Oreochromis niloticus: one gene and its partner. The protein of the gene in region 1 interacts with the protein of each later gene in a biochemical or structural test. Links are inferred from orthologs where the notes say so. Each region holds a gene or a part of one and is shown in the gene's direction. Other genes may lie near its edges.

Region 1 (9,266 bases):
ATTGGAGGTTTAAAATTTGACATAACAGAACTATCAAGGCTAGGTATCTTAAGTAAGGGATGTATGACTGCATGTTTAAAGGTCCATTAGACATGGATCCACATTCAGCTGGATCAGTTTTTTCAGAAGGACCTGAGGTTGTAGCTGGGTTTAATTTATTCTGGTGCCAGGATTTAAAAACTACAAATAAAATAAAATTAAAACCCTTACCTTTCATAGACTGGCAACTGTCTCAGGTTGTACTGATGACAGCTGGCTTAAGGTCCAAACTCGTGCCACTAATTTAGACAAACAGAGTATTTGAAGAGAATGGATGGAATTAAAATCAGCAGATGTTGTAGATTCCTATGAAGCAGTACCCTAAAAAGACCAATAAATGGCACTATTGTACCATTTACCCTGTAGAGTAGCTCTGTTATACCTATTCTTCATACTGTTTGTGAGGGAGTTCACCTGTCTTTTCGAGGGTACAAAAGTTGTATGAAGTGAAAAAAAAATGAACTGAAAAAAAAAATCTATAAGAAAACTTCGATGGAGGTATGCCTTCAGCATGCTCAATCATCCGGGTAAGGAAATCCCAGAAAGTTGATTCTGTTCATCTGTTTTCAGTGGGAGAAACGTTTCGTCATCATCCAGGTGACTTCATCAGTCTCAGCTGACTGCAGGTTTCCAACCTTATTAACAGGACATTTGTAAAATGACCTAAAGTAGGAACACTGACTAACTATTGGCCATAAGGTCACTGATATGTCACATGGAGGATATGGACATGTGAGAGAGAAAAACTGTCAACAACTCACTCAAGCAGAGAAAAAACTCCTTGCAAAAGGGTTGAACTTTGCTATGATGCTGAGATTGTGTAACTGATCACAGCCACAGAGTCAGAAATTCGAAACAACAACACTGCAGATGTGAAAGCAGAGCAACTGTGGATGAAAATGTTAACCTGTCTCAGCAAAGCAAAGCCCCCAGCATCCAATATCAGCATGGAGGAGAGGAAGGTACTTACAGCGCTTAGTAAGGACAACAACAACACCATCCAGCAGACTACAGCAGGTGTTGGTGTTGCTAAACCACACAGACTATCATGAGACATTTTGGCTCAGTAACAAAAATACTATAAAATACTAAAATATGAACCCTTGAAACAAGACCCAGGTAGTGGTTACAGGAAAAGGGTGATAGATTGTCTTAAGCAGTTGACTTTACTGACCAGACCTCAGAACACAAGTTACACCCAGGGGAAGTCTGTATAGTTAACTCAATTCAATTTCAATTCAATTCAATCTTTATTGGCAGACTTCATGTCCATAAAAACAAGACAGAAACACCCCCCCCCCCCCCCCCCCCCCCAACACAAGGTATAAACCATTATATTATATATATATATGTAGATAAATAAGTTAACCAAAGAAACATAAACAGGATGCACCTTTAAGACCTCCTTTAAGTCTGTATGATCAACTCGGTCACCTATAACATCTCTAAGTTTCTGGCTTCGATCCTCAACCCGCTGGTGGGCAGCTCTGAACACCACATCCAGAACACCTTGGATTTGGTTGAGAAGGTGAGAGATGTTATTATGGAGGCAGATGAAACCATGGTCTCGTACGACGTTACATCTCTCTTCACTTGCATCCCAGTCACGGAAGCATTGGAGGTAGTTCGTAAGAGGTTACAGGATGACCCCAACCTCAGCAACAGGACCACTCTCAGCATCCACCAAGTGCGTTTGAACTGTGTCTTAATTCCACCTACTTCACATACAAGGGTCAGGCAGGCAGAAACATGGGTGTGCCATGGGCTCCCCAGTTTCAGCCATCATGGCCAATTTGTACATGGAAGAAGTGGAAAAGAGGGCGTTGCTATCCTACCCTGGAACACCACCAAGCCATTGGTTCAGATATGTGGATGACACCTGGGTGAAAATCAAATCTCAGGACGTACCACATTTCACGGATCACATTAACTCGACGGACCGACACATCAAATTCACCAGGGAGGATATGAAAAGTGGCAGGTTAGCCTTCATAGACTGTGAGATTTCCTTCACTAATGGGGGACATCTAAAAGCTGATGTGTACCGTAAACCTACACATATGGATCAGTATTTAAGGTTTGACTCTCATCCAATGTCATTATATACTCTCTATTGTTCTATTATACTGCCTTACATGACATACTGTGTGGAAGTGTGGGGAAACATGTATAAAACACACACCCATCCAATATACATTCTGCAAAAAAGAGCAATAAGGATAATAAATAAAACTACTTCAAGAGAACCATCAAATCCACTTTTTATCAAATTAAATATTCTCAAATTTAAAGATTTGGTCGACCTCAGAACTGTGCAAACAATGTACAAAGCAGCAAAGAAATCTTTGCCCCACAACATTCAGAACTTGTTCCAAATAAGACCAAATACTCCTGACCTGAGAGAAATCCTTATGTTCAGCAAGCCAGTAGTAAGGACAAATGTAAACTATCACAGCATTACAGTCAGAGGAGTTAGTGTGTGGAACACCTGTACAGGTGAGATCAAGAAAAGTACATCAATACAAAATCTCACACGCCTGTTCAAAAATAATAAATCGCAATGAATATAGGAAATCTTCCTCTCAGTGACTGAGTCGTCTCATTGTCTCCTCATTTTTATAGATCAAGGCCAGAGTAACCCAGGCTTAAGTGTTCATTAATAGATATCAAATAAGATCAGAGATTAAGCGGGTGTTAAACACAGGGTGCTTAGTTTATGTAAACATGTAGTTTGTTGTTGTTGTGGTTTACGTGCTGAAAATGGTTTTATTTGTGTATGTTCAGTTTGTTAGACTTGTAAATAGTTAAATATATCTGATCAAATAATGTTGAATCCTTGATATGGATTTGTAAGCAATGAAATTCTATCTATCTATCTATCTATCTATCTATCTATCTATCTATCTATCTATCTATCTATCTATCTATCCACTGGAGCATAAACTGGGTGTCATCAGGACGCTACAACACAGAGCGAACACCATCCCCACAGACACAGCGGCCAGGGAGGCAGAAGAACATCACATCAAGAAGGCCCTGAGTAAATGTGGTTATCCCAGCTGGACTTTTGTCAAAGCTGGGAAGGCACCTAAAGAAAGCTCCAGCCGATCCAGGAGAGAAGGACAACCGCTGCCTAAGTGAAAACCTGTAGTGATCCCATATGTGTCAGGAGTATCGGAACAGTTGAGACGCATTTTTTCTAAACACCGGGTCTCTGTGGCTTTCAAACCCCAAAACACGCTGCGCCAAAAACTGGTCCACCCCAAGGATCGGGTCCCCCGACACAAACAGAGTAACATAGTGTACGCTGTTAAGTGCCAGGAGGATTGCCAGGATTTATACATCGGGGAAACCAAACAACCTCTAGCGAAGCGGATGGCACAACACAGCAGAGCCACCTCATCAGGCCAGGACTCTGCAGTCTATTTACACCTACAGGCCAGTGGACACTCTTTCAACGATGAGGATGTACACATCCTGGACAGGGAGGAACGCTGGTTTGAGGGCGGAGTCAAGGAGGCCATTTACGTGAAAAGGGAAAGACCATCTGTGAATGGAGGAGGGGGCCTAAGGGTCCATCTGTCACCATCTTACAATGCTGTGATTGCAGCCATTCCCCAACTCTCTGTGAATTCTTGAATGTGCTGTCTTTTCACCCCCTTGTCCACATCCTCTGTGTGGGTCTGGCATATCAGTGGCCCTGGTACTGACCTCCCAGTCCATTGTTCATCAGTGGTGCTAGTTTCAGTCAATAACCAAATGTACTGTTGGGGAAACCTGCAGTCAGCTGAGAGTGAAGAGTCACCTGGATGAGTGATGAAACGTTTCTCCCACTGAAAACTCTTCATCCAGATGAACAGCTGCAGTCTTTCACCCTCATTTTTCAAGTATATTTACTAACAAACACTCATAAAGCAGACACTCACATACTGTCTCTCACTCTCTCTGTCTCTCACTCACATATTTGTTTGCGTACCTGCTTTATTTTGTCTTTCTGTCCTGTTTCTTTTTTTGTTCCTCTGCTTTCTTCTCCTGTCTGGCTCCAATCTAGCCTTCACCCCCATCTGCTCCAGCATCCACACAGATAGTAATATGAATAATAAGATTAAACAGGAACATTCACAAAAGGAGCCTGCAGAGAGTCTGAGGTGCTCCTCTTGGGAAAGCAATGGGTTTGGCACAACAAAGCCTTCAGATTAGGATTCTGCTTGCTACAACTGCTGGGCAACAAGAAATAAATCCATTTAAAAAATGATTGCATATTTAAAGAAGTTACCTCAAACATAGTACACAAACCTAACCTGAGGTCATCAATGAAAAACAGGTATATTGTAACTGACTTAGAAATTGGCAGGAAGTTAGCTCGCTAGTTTCCATCTGAAGAGGATATACCATGTTCAGACATCACAGACTAAAACAGCTCTGCTATCACTTCAGACATAAATAAAGACAGAGTGTTTGAAGGGTTAGTGAAGTCTGGCTAGCTGACATATAATGGTGTGCTACCTGGTGGTGCTAACATGGTGTAATGAAGACGGAGGAATAATGGTAACTAATAATAATGAAAGTAAATGTGAGGGTCCCTGAATGGATGATTGCAGTCACACGGAAAACAAAACGTGAATCGGACCATTCAAGATAACGCCTGAGACAATCCTCAACACGAGGCTAGTCATTAATATGGTGCTGCATGCTTTGGATGACTCCGTTTGACCACTGAAATCTTAGCCTCAGAGTACGACAGCAGCTTGACTCTTTTCTTTTCAGCTGTGCTTGGGATCATTGTCCTGTTACATGACCCAATTAGAGCCAAGCTTTAACTGTCAGACAGATGGACTCACATTTGACAGATGGTCCACAGTTCATGCTTCACTCAGTGATTGAAAGGTGCCCAAATCACCACACCTCCACCACTGTGCTTCACAGTTTGTGCTGATATTTAAAAGTGGTCCTCTGCACTCTGCCAGACGTCTTCACTTTGGTATCGTCTATCTGAAGGATATTGTTGTGTTTTGTTGTTCATTTTGCAGCTTTGCAAAGCTAAGCTGTGCTACCACACTGACTTTAGAGAGAAGAGGCTTTCGCCTGGCAACCCTTCCAACAAGTCGTATGTTTTCAGGTCTTTTTTCTAATTGTACTGACATGAAATGTAACATTTGAGATGCAACACAGGCCACCTATCGCCTTAATTCCCCAAAATCCCAATGATTTTTAACATGGTTGTATGTTAAATATATATGTGAGAGTGTGCTGTTTGAGCAGAATATTGAAAGCCCAGGTCCACCAGTGCACTAAACGGGGTGAAAAACAAAGGTTACAATGTTAGAGAGATGTCCATGAGTGGGGCATCATAGCAGCCAAGATGAATAAGCGCAGTAACGTATACAGTACGGCTGGTTTCATTTGAACTTGGAGACAGCCAGAGGCAGCATTTACCAAACTATCCCGGCTCTAAAGGTAAAGAAAGTGGAAACACCGAACAGCATACTAACATTTGCTAATTGCTGCCTCATGTTGTAACAAGTTCAAGTTGGGAGAGCGCAGTTTGACAGACCATAGTATTATTATTAATACTATAGAGTGATCACGTGATGTGATGGCCAACACATCACAACACGTAGTGGGGAGACCACGGGGGGAGGAGCTGGGCGCAAAAGAACCACCTCAACAAATCTGGACGTGACTCCACCCTCCGTGTGCAGTGGGGAGTGGAGCAGCCGAGTGACAGTTCAGCCCGAGCCCAAACCATCCGTGACTGGCTCAGCAGGCTGAAGTTTGACTTTGTCTCTGTGTTTTTTGCCTCAGTGTTCCCGGAGAAGATATCGGGACTTCTGAAGTTTGGAGCCGCTTTTCTTCAGGAAGCTTTGCGCCACTTTATTCCTGCACACAGGCGCTCCGTGAAGCGGGTCTTTCATCTCTCTTTAAAAAAGAAAAGAAGAAAAAACCCGCTCAAAACACGGAGGATCGTTGGAGCTGGAAGTGGAAGCCTCGGAGGAACACAGTGTAGCCCACAGGTACTGTAGCTCTGCGTTATCTTTGCACTGACTCACACCGTGAGTACACGTTTAGAGACGTGGACGGTAACACAGCAGTGACTGAGCCTTTGCGAGTTTGTCGCTTTCACAGAATAGGGACACGCTGGAAAACAGCGAGCATCAGCAGTATCGTGACTGGCTGCACAGCTCCGGACCGTCTGAGCGCTTCACTTTATTACGCATTATACGGACAGCTGCGAACTAAATAAGTCACTTTATTGAAGACTTTCAAATTCTAACTATCAACCATAACTAACCAATCTGACCAGCAACATTTTCATTAGAAAAAGTTTTGTGTTAATGCATAAATATTATTATTATTGTTGGTAGTAGTAGATACATGTAGATAACAGCAGAAGGTTAAACTATAACCTCAACAACAACACCGTGTGTGTGTGTGTGTGTGTGTGTGTCTGTGTGTGTGTGTGTGTGTGTGGTGTTGTTTTTCTTCTTCTTGAACTTATAATTTAAAAGCAAAAAGCGTGAATGTCTCTTTGATGTGTTTACTGACCGTCAGTCTGTCAGACACACCGAGTGATTCCTTAAAGTGCTCATAGAGAGCGTGCTCAGGAACTCTGCTCTCTCAGCTCCATTCACTGTTGCTTTCAAGCTCTTTTGGCTCCAGTTTTAAAATGACCTCATTAAGAAGTAATGTGATTTCTTTTCAGTGGAGAGACTGCCATCCAACATTCACAGCCTACCACCCTCACGAACCACACAAGTAATACTTAGCTGAGCAGAGCATGTGAAATATGTACAGTATGATTATGAACATGTTGTATACGAAACCATCCAAACGTATTTCACTGCTACATGTCACATGTCTCTGATGTGTCACTGATGTATGAGAGGACACATCGTGGGCTTCACTGGAAAAAACTAAACAAATAATCTGAAATACCTGGTCCTGGTACTAATACTGCAGTTTTAGATATTATGGATGTTTTTCCCACGTTCCAAATTAGAGTGGCTTTGTGTGCATCTGTATGTAAAACGCCTCGAGGCAGCTGTAGTTGCTGTGAATTGAAGTTGAACTGCGTCGTAACAGAGGTCGAAAGTAACAAAATACAAGTACTTGTAACTGTACATAAAATTTTCTGTTATTTTTATTGTTAACCTTTATTTATCCAGATCAAAGTTTCCAAGAGGGCAGCACATAAAGACAATATAACAAATGCAGTATTCCACACAGACACAGGAATAGTATGCAACAGCAGTCACACTAACCAGAGGAGCTTTTCTCTCGCTCATATAAATACAACTAAAGTCCCACATTGTAACTATTTCTGACCGTTTCAGTTTATTCTGTGGATTATTCCAGAAACACAGACAGTATATTTAAATGTTGTTGTTTTTTAATTGTGTTCTGACTCAGGGGACAAACATTTGTGTAATGTTGGGAGAGTGTGGGCTAGACTGGACCTGGTTTTTACACACAGATAAGAAGGAACCGGGCCAAGGAGGGACACCGAGATTTACCAAGAAACTGTGTATGCATGCTGTGGATATGTGCTGTCTGTGGACATGTGCTGTCTGTGGTCATGTGCTGTCTGTGGACATGTGCTGTCTGTGGACATGTGCTGTCTGTGGACATGTGCTGTCTGTGGTCATGTGCGGTCTGTGGACATGTGCTGTCTGTGGTCATGTGCTGTCTGTGGACATGTGCTGTCTGTGGTCATGTGCTGTCTGTGGACATGTGCTGTCTGTGGACATGTGCGGTCTGTGGTCATGTGCGGTCTGTGGACATGTGCGGTCTGTGGTCATGTGCTGTCTGTGGTCATGTGCTGTCTGTGGACATGTGCTGTCTGTGGACATGTGCGGTCTGTGGACATGTGCGGTCTGTGGTCATGTGCTGTCTGTGGTCATGTGCGGTCTGTGGTCATGTGCGGTCTGTGGACATGTGCGGTCTGTGGTCATGTGCTGTCTGTGGACATGTGCTGTCTGTGGACATGTGCGGTCTGTGGTCATGTGCGGTCTGTGGTCATGTGCTGTCTGTGGACATGTGCGGTCTGTGGTCATGTGCTGTCTGTGGACATGTGCGGTCTGTGGTCATGTGCGGTCTGTGGTCATGTGCGGTCTGTGGTCATGTGCTGTCTGTGGACATGTGCTGTCTGTGGACATGTGCGGTCTGTGGTCATGTGCTGTCTGTGGACATGTGCGGTCTGTGGTCATGTGCGGTCTGTGGACATGTGCGGTCTGTGGTCATGTGCGGTCTGTGGTCATGTGCGGTCTGTGGTCATGTGCTCTCTGTGGACATGTGCGGTCTGTGGACATGTGCGGTCTGTGGTCATGTGCTGTCTGTGGACATGTGCGGTCTGTGGACATGTGCGGTCTGTGGTCATGTGCGGTCTGTGGTCATGTGCTGTCTGTGGACATGTGCGGTCTGTGGTCATGTGCGGTCTGTGGACATGTGCGGTCTGTGGTCATGTGCTGTCTGTGGTCATGTGCTGTCTGTGGACATGTGCGGTCTGTGGTCATGTGCGGTCTGTGGTCATGTGCTGTCTGTGGACATGTGCGGTCTGTGGTCATGTGCGGTCTGTGGACATGTGCGGTCTGTGGTCATGTGCTGTCTGTGGTCATGTGCTGTCTGTGGACATGTGCTGTCTGTGGTCATGTGCGGTCTGTGGACATGTGCGGTCTGTGGACATGTGCGGTCTGTGGTCATGTGCGGTCTGTGGACATGTGCTGTCTGTGGACATGTGCTGTCTGTGGACATGTGCTGTCTGTGGACATGTGCGGTCTGTGGTCATGTGCTGTCTGTGGACATGTGCTGTCTGTGGTCATGTGCTGTCTGTGGACATGTGCTGTCTGTGGACATGTGCTGTCTGTGGTCATGTGCTGTCTGTGGACATGTGCGGTCTGTGGATATATAGAAAACACCATTTAGCAGTAGCAGAGAGAGCATTAATCAGCAGATCAGCATAAAGACTCCAGTATCAGTTCTACATTAGATTATCAGAACAAGTTTGTTACTTTTGGTTTGAGGCAGGTTTTTATTTCACATCATTGCGTGCCATCAAAAAGATGCAAAAACATATAATTTATGCATCATTTGTAGCGCTGTACTAAGAGTTAAAGTAGGCCAGAACAATCCAGAAGTGTTTTTGAAAGGAGAAAGACAGGAGGTTTGGCTTGAAGGTGAGGGCTGTTCAATGCAATCTGAAATATAAAGCTTACATGCGAGCGACCTGT
Region 2 (9,656 bases), on another chromosome or scaffold:
AAATGTATAAAATATTCAAAGGTCTGCCTGGATTACGTGCCACCTTGCAAGACCCATACGAAATACCTGGATAAAAAAATTGAAAATGCTTCTTTGCGATTCGGAAGACCATAATACCATCAGAAAACCAACTCTGTACTTGACCTAGAATATTCTGTGTAAATCCATGGCTCACCCTTCATACTCTCAGGTTTTATACATTTCTCACTTTTCCATAGACCTTTCTACAATAGGCTCCTTGACTTGTCATAGAAGAAAAAGCATTGATGTTACTAATAAAGACAATTTTCTTCCAACTCTGGTTCATTCTTTCTCTACTTTCTGGGAAATAAACATGCAGCAGTTCTTCGGGTTCAATGAGAAGTTGCACTACTTCAAGAAAAAAATGAGGCCATTTTCAATCTGAACGTAGCAACACATTTCTAAAAAGTTGGGCCAGAGCCATGTTTAGCGATGTGTAGCATCTCCTCTTTGTGTAACAACAATCTGTAAACATCTGAGGAGACCAGCTGCTGGACTTCTGGGAGAGGAATGTTGTTCCATTCTTGTCTGACGTAGGATTCTTGCTGCACAACTTTGTCATATTTTTCATTTAATGATGTGCCAAATGATTTTAATTGGTGAAAGTTCTGGACTGCAGACAGGCCTGCTCAGCACCCCGACTCTTCTACTACGAAGTAATGCTCTTGTAATAGATGCTGGATTGATGTATCCCATATCATCAGGAACTGAGAGCTGATAGGAAGCTGGATGATCCCTCTCTTTAGTCCAGGATGAAGGATTTTTTTGGAAAAGCATTTCATATTTAGATTTGTCTGACCACAGAACAGTTTAACACTTGATTCAGTCCATTTTAAATAAGCTTTAAGCCAGAGAAGCCGGTGCCCTGTCTGAATCATGTTACATATGGCTTCTTCTGTGCATCATAGAGTTTTAACGTGTCTTTGTGGATGACATGCTGAACTGCATTAACAGGCAGTGATTTCTGGAAGTATTTCTTTGCCCATGCAGTGATTTCCATGGTAGAATCATGCCCGTTTTTAATGCAGTGCTGCATGTCACAGGCATCCAGTATTAATCTTCAACCTAGTCACTTGTGTACAGAGATTTCTTCACATCCTCTGAATCTTTTGGTGATACTATGTACTGTAGATGACAAGCTGTTTAAAATCTTTGCAATTTTATGGAATTTTTCCACAATTAGTAGACACAATTTTTTTCCAGATTGGTGAACCTTAACCTATCTTTACGTCTGAGAGACTTTGCCTCTCTAAGATCTCTTTTTATACTCTCTGACCTGTTACTGACCCGTTGCCAAGTAACCTAATATTTTTCATGAAATACTAAAATGTCATATTTTCTATCTTCTGTTATTAAAAAATATAGTTTTATGTGATTTGTAAATCATTCCATTCTGTTTTTATTTATATTTTACACAGCGTCTCAAATTCTCTATAATAGGGTTTGTATATTCAGCTCGTAGACATCCACGTGAACAATGTAAAAATAGTTGTATGAGTACATTTAATTTCCTTTCATACGTAATGAGTAAAAAGTCATCTTTTTCTTTTTGAAGGTTTTAAACTTAAACCACATGTATTTACAAGCCATGTCTCGTTCTTTTTTCAGCTCCTCCCTTCAGGTGTTGCCACCCTATCCTCTGCATCACACCAATTATCTGCATGTCCTTTCTCACTACATCCACTAACCTTCGTTTTAGTCTTCCTTTTCTCCTTTAGCTTAGCAGTTAATATTAAACATCTTTTTCCTAATACATGCACTATCACTCTTCTACCCATGGCCAAACCATCTCAACCTTGCCTCTTTTACTTTGTCTCCAAATCAGCTCCATCCTGAGCAGGCCCTCTGATATACCCTTTCCTTATGCATTTTTTCATTCTTTATTGCTCTTTTTAATACATTTTGAAATACAAATCATCTCTGAAATGTCATACATGAGTAAAGGATCAATAATTTTGCAATCACACACAGGGGATTCTCCCACAATATTGGAGACATGGTATATTTCAGTTATGCATTTTCTTATAATAAAGTCAATGTCTTTCAGCAAAAACACATAAACATTAATATAGGTGAATCAGTAGGGAAAATGTAGCAATATTATGCCCATTTGTTGGATGTCTACCTGTAATCAAAACAGTATTGAAAAAAATATGTTTCCCACTCCTTTTTTCAGTGTTTACATACACACATATCTGTATATTGGGTAACACAGTGCACAGAGTGTAGTATAGAGCTACCAAGTGTTTACTGTCTACTAATGCTGCCAGTCCATTTATAGAAAGCAAAAATGATCCCATGCTTGAGGCTACTCATGGTAATTTATTTACCCCTATCACATCACCAATATGAGATGTTCAAAAAGCCTGCTTTTTCAGGAGGGCCAATATGAACATAGCCTCTCTTATCTAGGTTATCCAGAGCGCAGGGTTGGAAGAAGCCATGGGCTACCACGATGATGCTAGAAGGCTTCTGACACAATTTACTAATTAAAACAACACAGGTCTAATCTCCAGTGCCCCTAGCATTAACTTTTTGATCAGCTCAGAATCATATGACTATGAACTTCAAACAGTGTGGTGGGAAAACCCACAGGAAGCCAAATGAATATTCACAGAAATGCCATTCTGTATGGCAGTGATATTACTGCTCTCTTTCATGTTGTTGGACAAACTACAAGAATTATGCAATGTCTATTTTATGCTAAATGAAATCCTTTTACAGCGTGTGGCATATATGAAAGAGTGGAAAAAGGTAAACACACACACACACACGCACACAGATATTGCACTTTTTACTACTACTGAGGACATGCTGTTTAGTTAACACTTCCTTTGATGTATAATGAGTGGTTTTATTGCACATACTCCTTTATTTGCTGCTGAATCAACGTGTTATTAAATGCAACAGGACTTTATTTTAGGAAAACACAGCTTTTTTATTAGCACAGGGATGACAGTGCAAACAAAAGGTTACCTTTTGTCCAATTAGATCAGTCTCCTCGCGTTTGGCATCAACAATCGCTAGTAGTCTTTTATATTCTGCCGGCTTGTACTTTGAGCTGCCAAGACCATTTTTCATTCGCACTGTCAGTTTTTCTGCATGGATGAAAACAGATGATATGGATGAATTAGGATCACTGGAATTCTTGAAAATCTCATCACTTTTAATGTCTGAAGTAAAGACTTTATGCTGACTTCAGCAAAAAAAGGTTAGACAGAGGAGCAACACCAGTTAAGCTCTAATGGATTGTATGCGTAATAAAGAAATGATTGCACAGGAGGAGGGGGATAGCAGAGACAAACTGTGTCAGACGTTTTTTTTCAGTGCTTCGGCTTGACTCAAGGAAGCAGGTGGATAAACACAAGCTGTGCCTGTGACAAAAACAACAGACTTGAAAGGCACCTGGAGAATTCGACATGAGGGCTTCAGGTCAAACCGGTTCAACAGTTGAGTAGACCACTATGTCAGAAGCCAGAATATTCCAGCCATTTTTCACTCACTTACCAACATCTTCTGCTTTAATGCTTGTTATGAATGTTTGTAGATCCTTTCCACTCATCACTATTGAGCTTTATCTTCATGCACCAGAGTACCTTCAAAATAAAGACATTAATTATTGCGCTGCACACACATGCACAGCTTTGTTGCCTACAAAAAAAGTTTGGTGTGACATTGTTTAAAATGCTAGTTAACATCAACAAGTTTTAGTGTACTGGAGCCAGTGTGTGTGTGATATACTGCTGGAATGTTTTTTTTTTCCTTTTTGCCTTTGTTTTGGATTAAGCTTGGAAAGATTTTCGCACAGGATTCCTCTCCTTTCAAATGCATGGTGTGTGAAGAGATGGGATGAACTATGCAGGAATTAATTTTTCTATGATTGGAGGGAAAACAGATGCGCTGTTCTGAATCCTTGTCTATTTTTTGCCCATGTCTCCATTACATATAGACTTAAATACCGATTTTAAGGACAGCAAAATTATTACTTTTTCCATTTCAACACCAAATGGCAAGCCAAGGTTAGGATTCAAGACATAGGTCATTCTAGAAATGTCAATTTTTCTGTCCCTGGCTTTTACTACACTTAAAAACCACTTTATTTACAATTTATTTCTATGTTAAATTTGAATAATTTTTCCTTCCTCATTCTTTAATTTCACAATATTACAATTAGAATAGGCACCACCACCGCGTTTGTCCCCACAGTCGAGTATGGTGGGTAAAGGCTGTGTTTTTTTTGTTATATTTAAAATGCATCAAATCAATCAGATATGTTAAAAATATGATGACTGTGACACAATGAAGCAAAATGTGAAATAAATATTATAAGATATATAAAGAAAGTCATGGTCCCTTAAAACTGTGTCACTGGTGTTATGAGAAAAGTTTATTATTTTGAAACAAAACATCCCAATAATGACATCACTTGACTTACTTTCACAGATTTCCTGAAGCACTATAAAGAAATGGTCATGATGAGACCAGTGTCTCTTTTCATTTATCAGATTTTTTTCTGTTTTATCTCGTAATTTCATAATAAGCTTTTAGTTGAAGTCACTAATACAAAACAGTTAGGAAATTGTTAAAAAAAACAAAACCCAAAACAACAGAATATAAATGGATTAAATGACATAATCTGGTGAGTACAAGATGACTGACATCATGTGGTTTGATGCTTGCAGCATCTATTTTGTAAAAAGCATTTTCCATGAAAACTGTCACTGCTGTTACCTTCCTTATGGGTAACACTAGACCTCCGAGATAATAATTTTACATCCACTGAAATTCGGTACAGGTACAGGTTAAGATATAAAGAATGGCATTGTCACTCATTTTAAGTGTTCTTTATATGCTTTCATTTGATTTTATTGCTAATAAATGACTTTGCAAATATCATACATTGACGCTTTGAACAAACGCTTTGAAATAATAAAATATTATCTTATGATTTTTGCATCACATAGCATTATTCTAAATAATAATTAATAGAAGCCCCCAAAATTTGCATAAGGAGTAAGATAACACCAGTGGCGAAAAGGTGGCACATGGGTTAAATGTACAAAAGAAATATTTTTAAAAAATCATTAGGTTGTCATTTTTTTGCTGTTAAAACTATGGACATACAACTAGCCTAAAATATTTTCCAAGCCAAGCTCTGTTAATTTACTTTACCGATTTTTACCAATTATTATAGTCCTTAATTAAACTAGAAAACACTTAACTTTATCATTGTCACAGCTGCTACTGCTATAGTTTAGCGACAGTACTTGTGTAGAACCTATGCTCAACCTTACAAAAAAAAACCAAAACCAAGTGAACCAAAGGTTTCCTACAAGACCAAGCTCAAACTATACCTACAATAAAGTTACACACAACAATTAGCGATTATTTGCGTTGTAAACTAAGTATTTATACCCGACGAGCCACCTAGCTTACCTTGTTCTCTCCCTTCTACAGTGTATGGGTTGACAAAACAGGTAACCAAGGTAACTATCATCTTCTCAGTCATTGGTTAATTTAACAACGCGTACCTCTTCAGGAACGCCCCCGTATTCGCTTTGAAACCAATCAGGAGTGCACATCGGTTTCCCACATTCCCGCTGACGTCATGCACGCTCGCATTGCCTGGGACTGCTGTTGGAAGCGAGGAGCAGCCGAGGGGTCGTCTTCTTCACTCGAGTGTGGACGCGAGTTTCATTCTTCCACATGCATGGGACTAAAAGGCAGGACTTTACAGATGAAGTTACACATTCCAATGTAGATCCAAGCCGCAGCTCAGCCAGCGCAACTACAATCCTCCCAAGGTATGGAAATGTTTCTCTTTTCTTTTCTTTGCAAACTGCTAAATAATTGGAGTGAATACGCAGGGAGAAACGAGAGCATCTGTGCGCAGAGCAGGCAGGAGGGTATGGGCTGCTTACTTGAAGTCGGAAAGTGAAAAGAGAGTGGTTGCTTTTTTTCTTTCTCTTTTTTCCGTCTGTGCATGCGGCATAAGACAAGCTTCTTTTGGCTTCCTCTCAGCGGGGAAGAATCTAATACTACCCTAATCTGTTTCTTGTGACCGAATCATCGCAAACAACGCACACCTTTGAGGGACCTTCACGCGCTGTTTTTGATGCCATGCCTAACCGTGGGGGTGAAAACTTGGCCGGCTAATGTAAATGCACGGAAACTGCTCCGGGGTTAGTTTTCCTCTTGTAGAAAAACTCACTTTACTGTGGCAATGCCCTTGAAAACGTGTTGCTAAGTAGTGCAGGAAAAGGCAGGTGAGCTTAGAGTGTGGGAATCTCTGGAATGCGAGGTCGCCCAGGGGCGTAGATCCAAACTCTGCTCCTATTAGATTGGCTTACCTTTTACCCTCAGGTTGAACTAGCTAGGTTCAAACTACGCCATATTTAATGACTCTATTTTGCATTTTAAGAGGGTCGTTTCCTTTTTAACGGTAACCGTGACTCTACGTTGTCATCGTTTTGCACCGTGCAAGAACAACCTACCTTTGTGGCAGGGGTAGACTGAAACAGTAATTCAGACCGGGGATTTGAGTCCTTTCCAGGCCACCTTGTTCATGCGAACCTCACCAAACTGCTGTCTTTGAAGGCTTTTTACTGGTTACAAACTGAGTGCTTGCTCTTCAGAGTATCATATGGGCAGTGGTAGAAGGAATACTCAGGTACTGTTACAAATGTGCCTCTACTGCAAAGTGTATCTTTAGGTGTTACAAAAACACTTTAAAGTGCAAAGTGTTCTTGTCAAAAACAACTCTTTGTATTAGTTTTTAACGGCTTATATTTGTCTTCTTTATCAGTAGCATTAATTCATAGGGGAAAAACCATGTAGGAAAACCACCATATTCACAACAGTCTCATAAAATCACAATGTCAGTGAAACAAATGACTCGGGATATAATTTATAATTAAGATGACAAAATGAAAAATAAAAAATTGGCAGCGATCAAATATAATCGTAATTATATAAGCTCTAGGTTTCTATTTCCAAAGAAATCACATCATGAAGTGATTACTTTGTTATTAAAAAGGAAATCTGTAGCCAATACTATACAAGCATAACAGACACAAGCATCAAGTATAAACACTTAAGAAGTGCATGAGAATATATAAGCTACAGGTGTGTGTGTGTGTGTGTCTGTCTGTCTGTCTGTACACAAAATGAAAAAAGGAGAGGGAAACCAGTGAGTGCAGACCCACAGAGGTGGGGGTGAAACCGTGTAGGTGTAAATGTAAGCAGACAAAAGGTTTTAGAGTTGAAGGCGGGAAACTCTGGATTCCCAGAATCTTTAAAATGAAGCTTTTGTCCCAATTCACCAAGGTCAAAATACTCAAGCTGGGATGTGCCACACATTAGTAAAAAGAGAAATGAGTGATTCTAATGTGAAACGGCAAATAGTGGCTGCACTAAGAAATGATAAGGATTATAGAGAGTCTGTGAAGAAGATGAATAGTAAAGGGAAAAAAAGAAAAAACATTTACTTTTATATGTATATTTTTTATTTTTTATTGTTCTTAATTGTCATAGCTTGCTTTTAAAAGTACCTGCGTCCACAGTCCAAAACATGGACATTAGGTTAATGGGAGGTTCTAAATTGCCTGTCTCTGTGTGTTAGCCCTGTGATGGACTGGTGACCTGTCCGTGGTCTACCCCACTTCTCAACCTACGACAGCTGGCATTGGCTCCAGCTCTCCCCCCAGCTCTGAATTGCACAAGTGGTTAAAATGTACCCTCACAGATGACTTGTGGAAGTAGTTGTAATTCACTAGCACCATCACTGGCTATGGGTGTAGAATTAAAACTTACCAGAGCAGTTTTCTCACATGGCAGGTAGGGCTGGGCGATATGACCCAAAATTCATATCTCGATATTTTTTAGCTGGATGGCGATATAAGATATATATCTCGATATTTTTTTAAAGCCATAAAGTAAGAACAAAAAGAGAGTTCTTAGTCAAAGCTGTGTCCCAGATGTCACACAGGCACTTTTATTAACATACAGCATAGATGTACATGAAAAAAACTACTCAAAAATAAATTATGAGCATTTATTAAATAATAATGCTCCATAAATAAACCAAAACAATGTTGTTTTTGTGCATAACAAAAAGCTCACAATTGTGCAGTCAGAATGTAAACTAAAAGACGCTGAGCATAATAACATAGACAGATTTCACAGCTGCTCTGTTCCCAACTTCTGCTGCGTAACTGACAGCCTGGAGTTTGAAATCAGCTGCATAACCACGTCTCTTAACAGGTGCCATTTATGGTCCTTATACACACACAATACGGTAATATTACCTTGAAGCACAGTACGTATTACTCCGCGAGGCTCCTTGGTAGCCGTAATGCTCCGACAATCCATCAAGAGGTGCAGCTCCGTAGCTTACCAAAGTCGTACCAAAACATTTTTTGACAGATTGCTGAGCGCTGTGTATCACATAAAATCGGTTCGGTCATCAAGCACAACCAGAATTCATACAAAAGGCGCGCTGTCAACTTTTGAGAGAATGAAAGGATTTTAGGCTGTGCAGCCCCTCTGGGCTGCATGGCGTTAGCGTGGTTAGCTCGTTAACACGTTGACGCCATCCAGCCCCACGCACGGGGCGATGCGCAGTAACTCGTTAACGGAGATTTGCCGTGTCCATCTTGTCGCTGCCTGCAGGTGAAGCGATGGGGGAGGAGGGGGAGTTGTGTTCAGTGAAGGAGAGGCGAGGTCGAGTAACGTTGCGTAAAGACAAAAGTGGACGAAAGAGAGGCAAACTTGTGGCTCCACAACTATAATTATAATGTAACACAGACTATATCAATATAAAGGATATTGTCACATCTTATATCTCGTATAAAAATATATCGATATTTTTTAAAAACTCGATATATCGCCCAGCCCTAATGGCAGGGAACCTGAACGTTTTGCCTGGGGACATCAATCCCAAAGCAAAATGTAGGGTTAGCTAAATGTTGACATGATTATCTTTATTAATAGCCAGTCACTCACAAGTCAAGCTAAATGCACTAAAATTGGCAGTTACCTTAGATGATGCCTTTGTTCATCTAAACTGTTGGATTCCTTACCACAGTAATCGACTTTTCCCCCACTTTGATATCAGCTGCACCACAAACCATCTCAGATTTTAATAGCAGAATTTGATTTGTGCCGAAGCCATGAATGAATGTAATTTGATGGTGGACACCTGTGCTATTGCTTGAGAAACCTCACCACAAGCAAACCAAAGCAACAACTTCACAATGCAATTCTGCAGCAAGGTCACCAACTGCTCATTCACTGTGAGTGGAATAGGAAATATTGTAACAACAAATACTCGTGTTTTGTATCCGTAGTGGTGTGTGTGTTGACAAGTGAGTATAATATTGGCCTCTTATGTGAATGCGTTACTTATTTCACAGCATTTAGCTTCTTCCAGGACAATGACCTTTTTCTTTTTAATTGTCTTCGTCTTTGCTGACTGTTAGTTTTGCTGGGCAACTTTAATGTTATTTTCATTAGTGCAGAAGTAGGAACCACCCTAGCAAAAAATTAGGTTGGCTGTGTAAAAGTATAGAAAAAATAGAATGCAAATATTTATTTATACCTAAATCATCACTTTCTTTGAATGAAAATAGCCCAGC

What was found.
Region 2: the proteins of pdzd2 (region 1) and plakophilin-4 form a complex in vitro, tested with the Homo sapiens proteins (2 studies listed by BioGRID and IntAct, with this or other methods). The link is inferred for Oreochromis niloticus from reciprocal best matches to the Homo sapiens genes PDZD2 and PKP4.

Annotation. Positions count from the first base shown.
Region 1 is NC_031977.2:406,320-415,585, reverse strand, and holds the start of pdzd2 (PDZ domain-containing protein 2), read left to right. Parts: upstream 1-5,748; 5' UTR 5,749-6,053; intron 6,054-9,266.
Region 2 is NC_031987.2:14,967,582-14,977,237, forward strand, and holds the start of plakophilin-4, read left to right. Parts: upstream 1-5,614; 5' UTR 5,615-5,825; intron 5,826-6,515; exon of another isoform or gene 6,516-6,537; intron 6,538-9,656. Other genes in the region: coiled-coil domain-containing protein 148, read right to left, coding at 2,998-3,119, 3,529-3,583. UniProt on the Homo sapiens protein: Plays a role as a regulator of Rho activity during cytokinesis. May play a role in junctional plaques.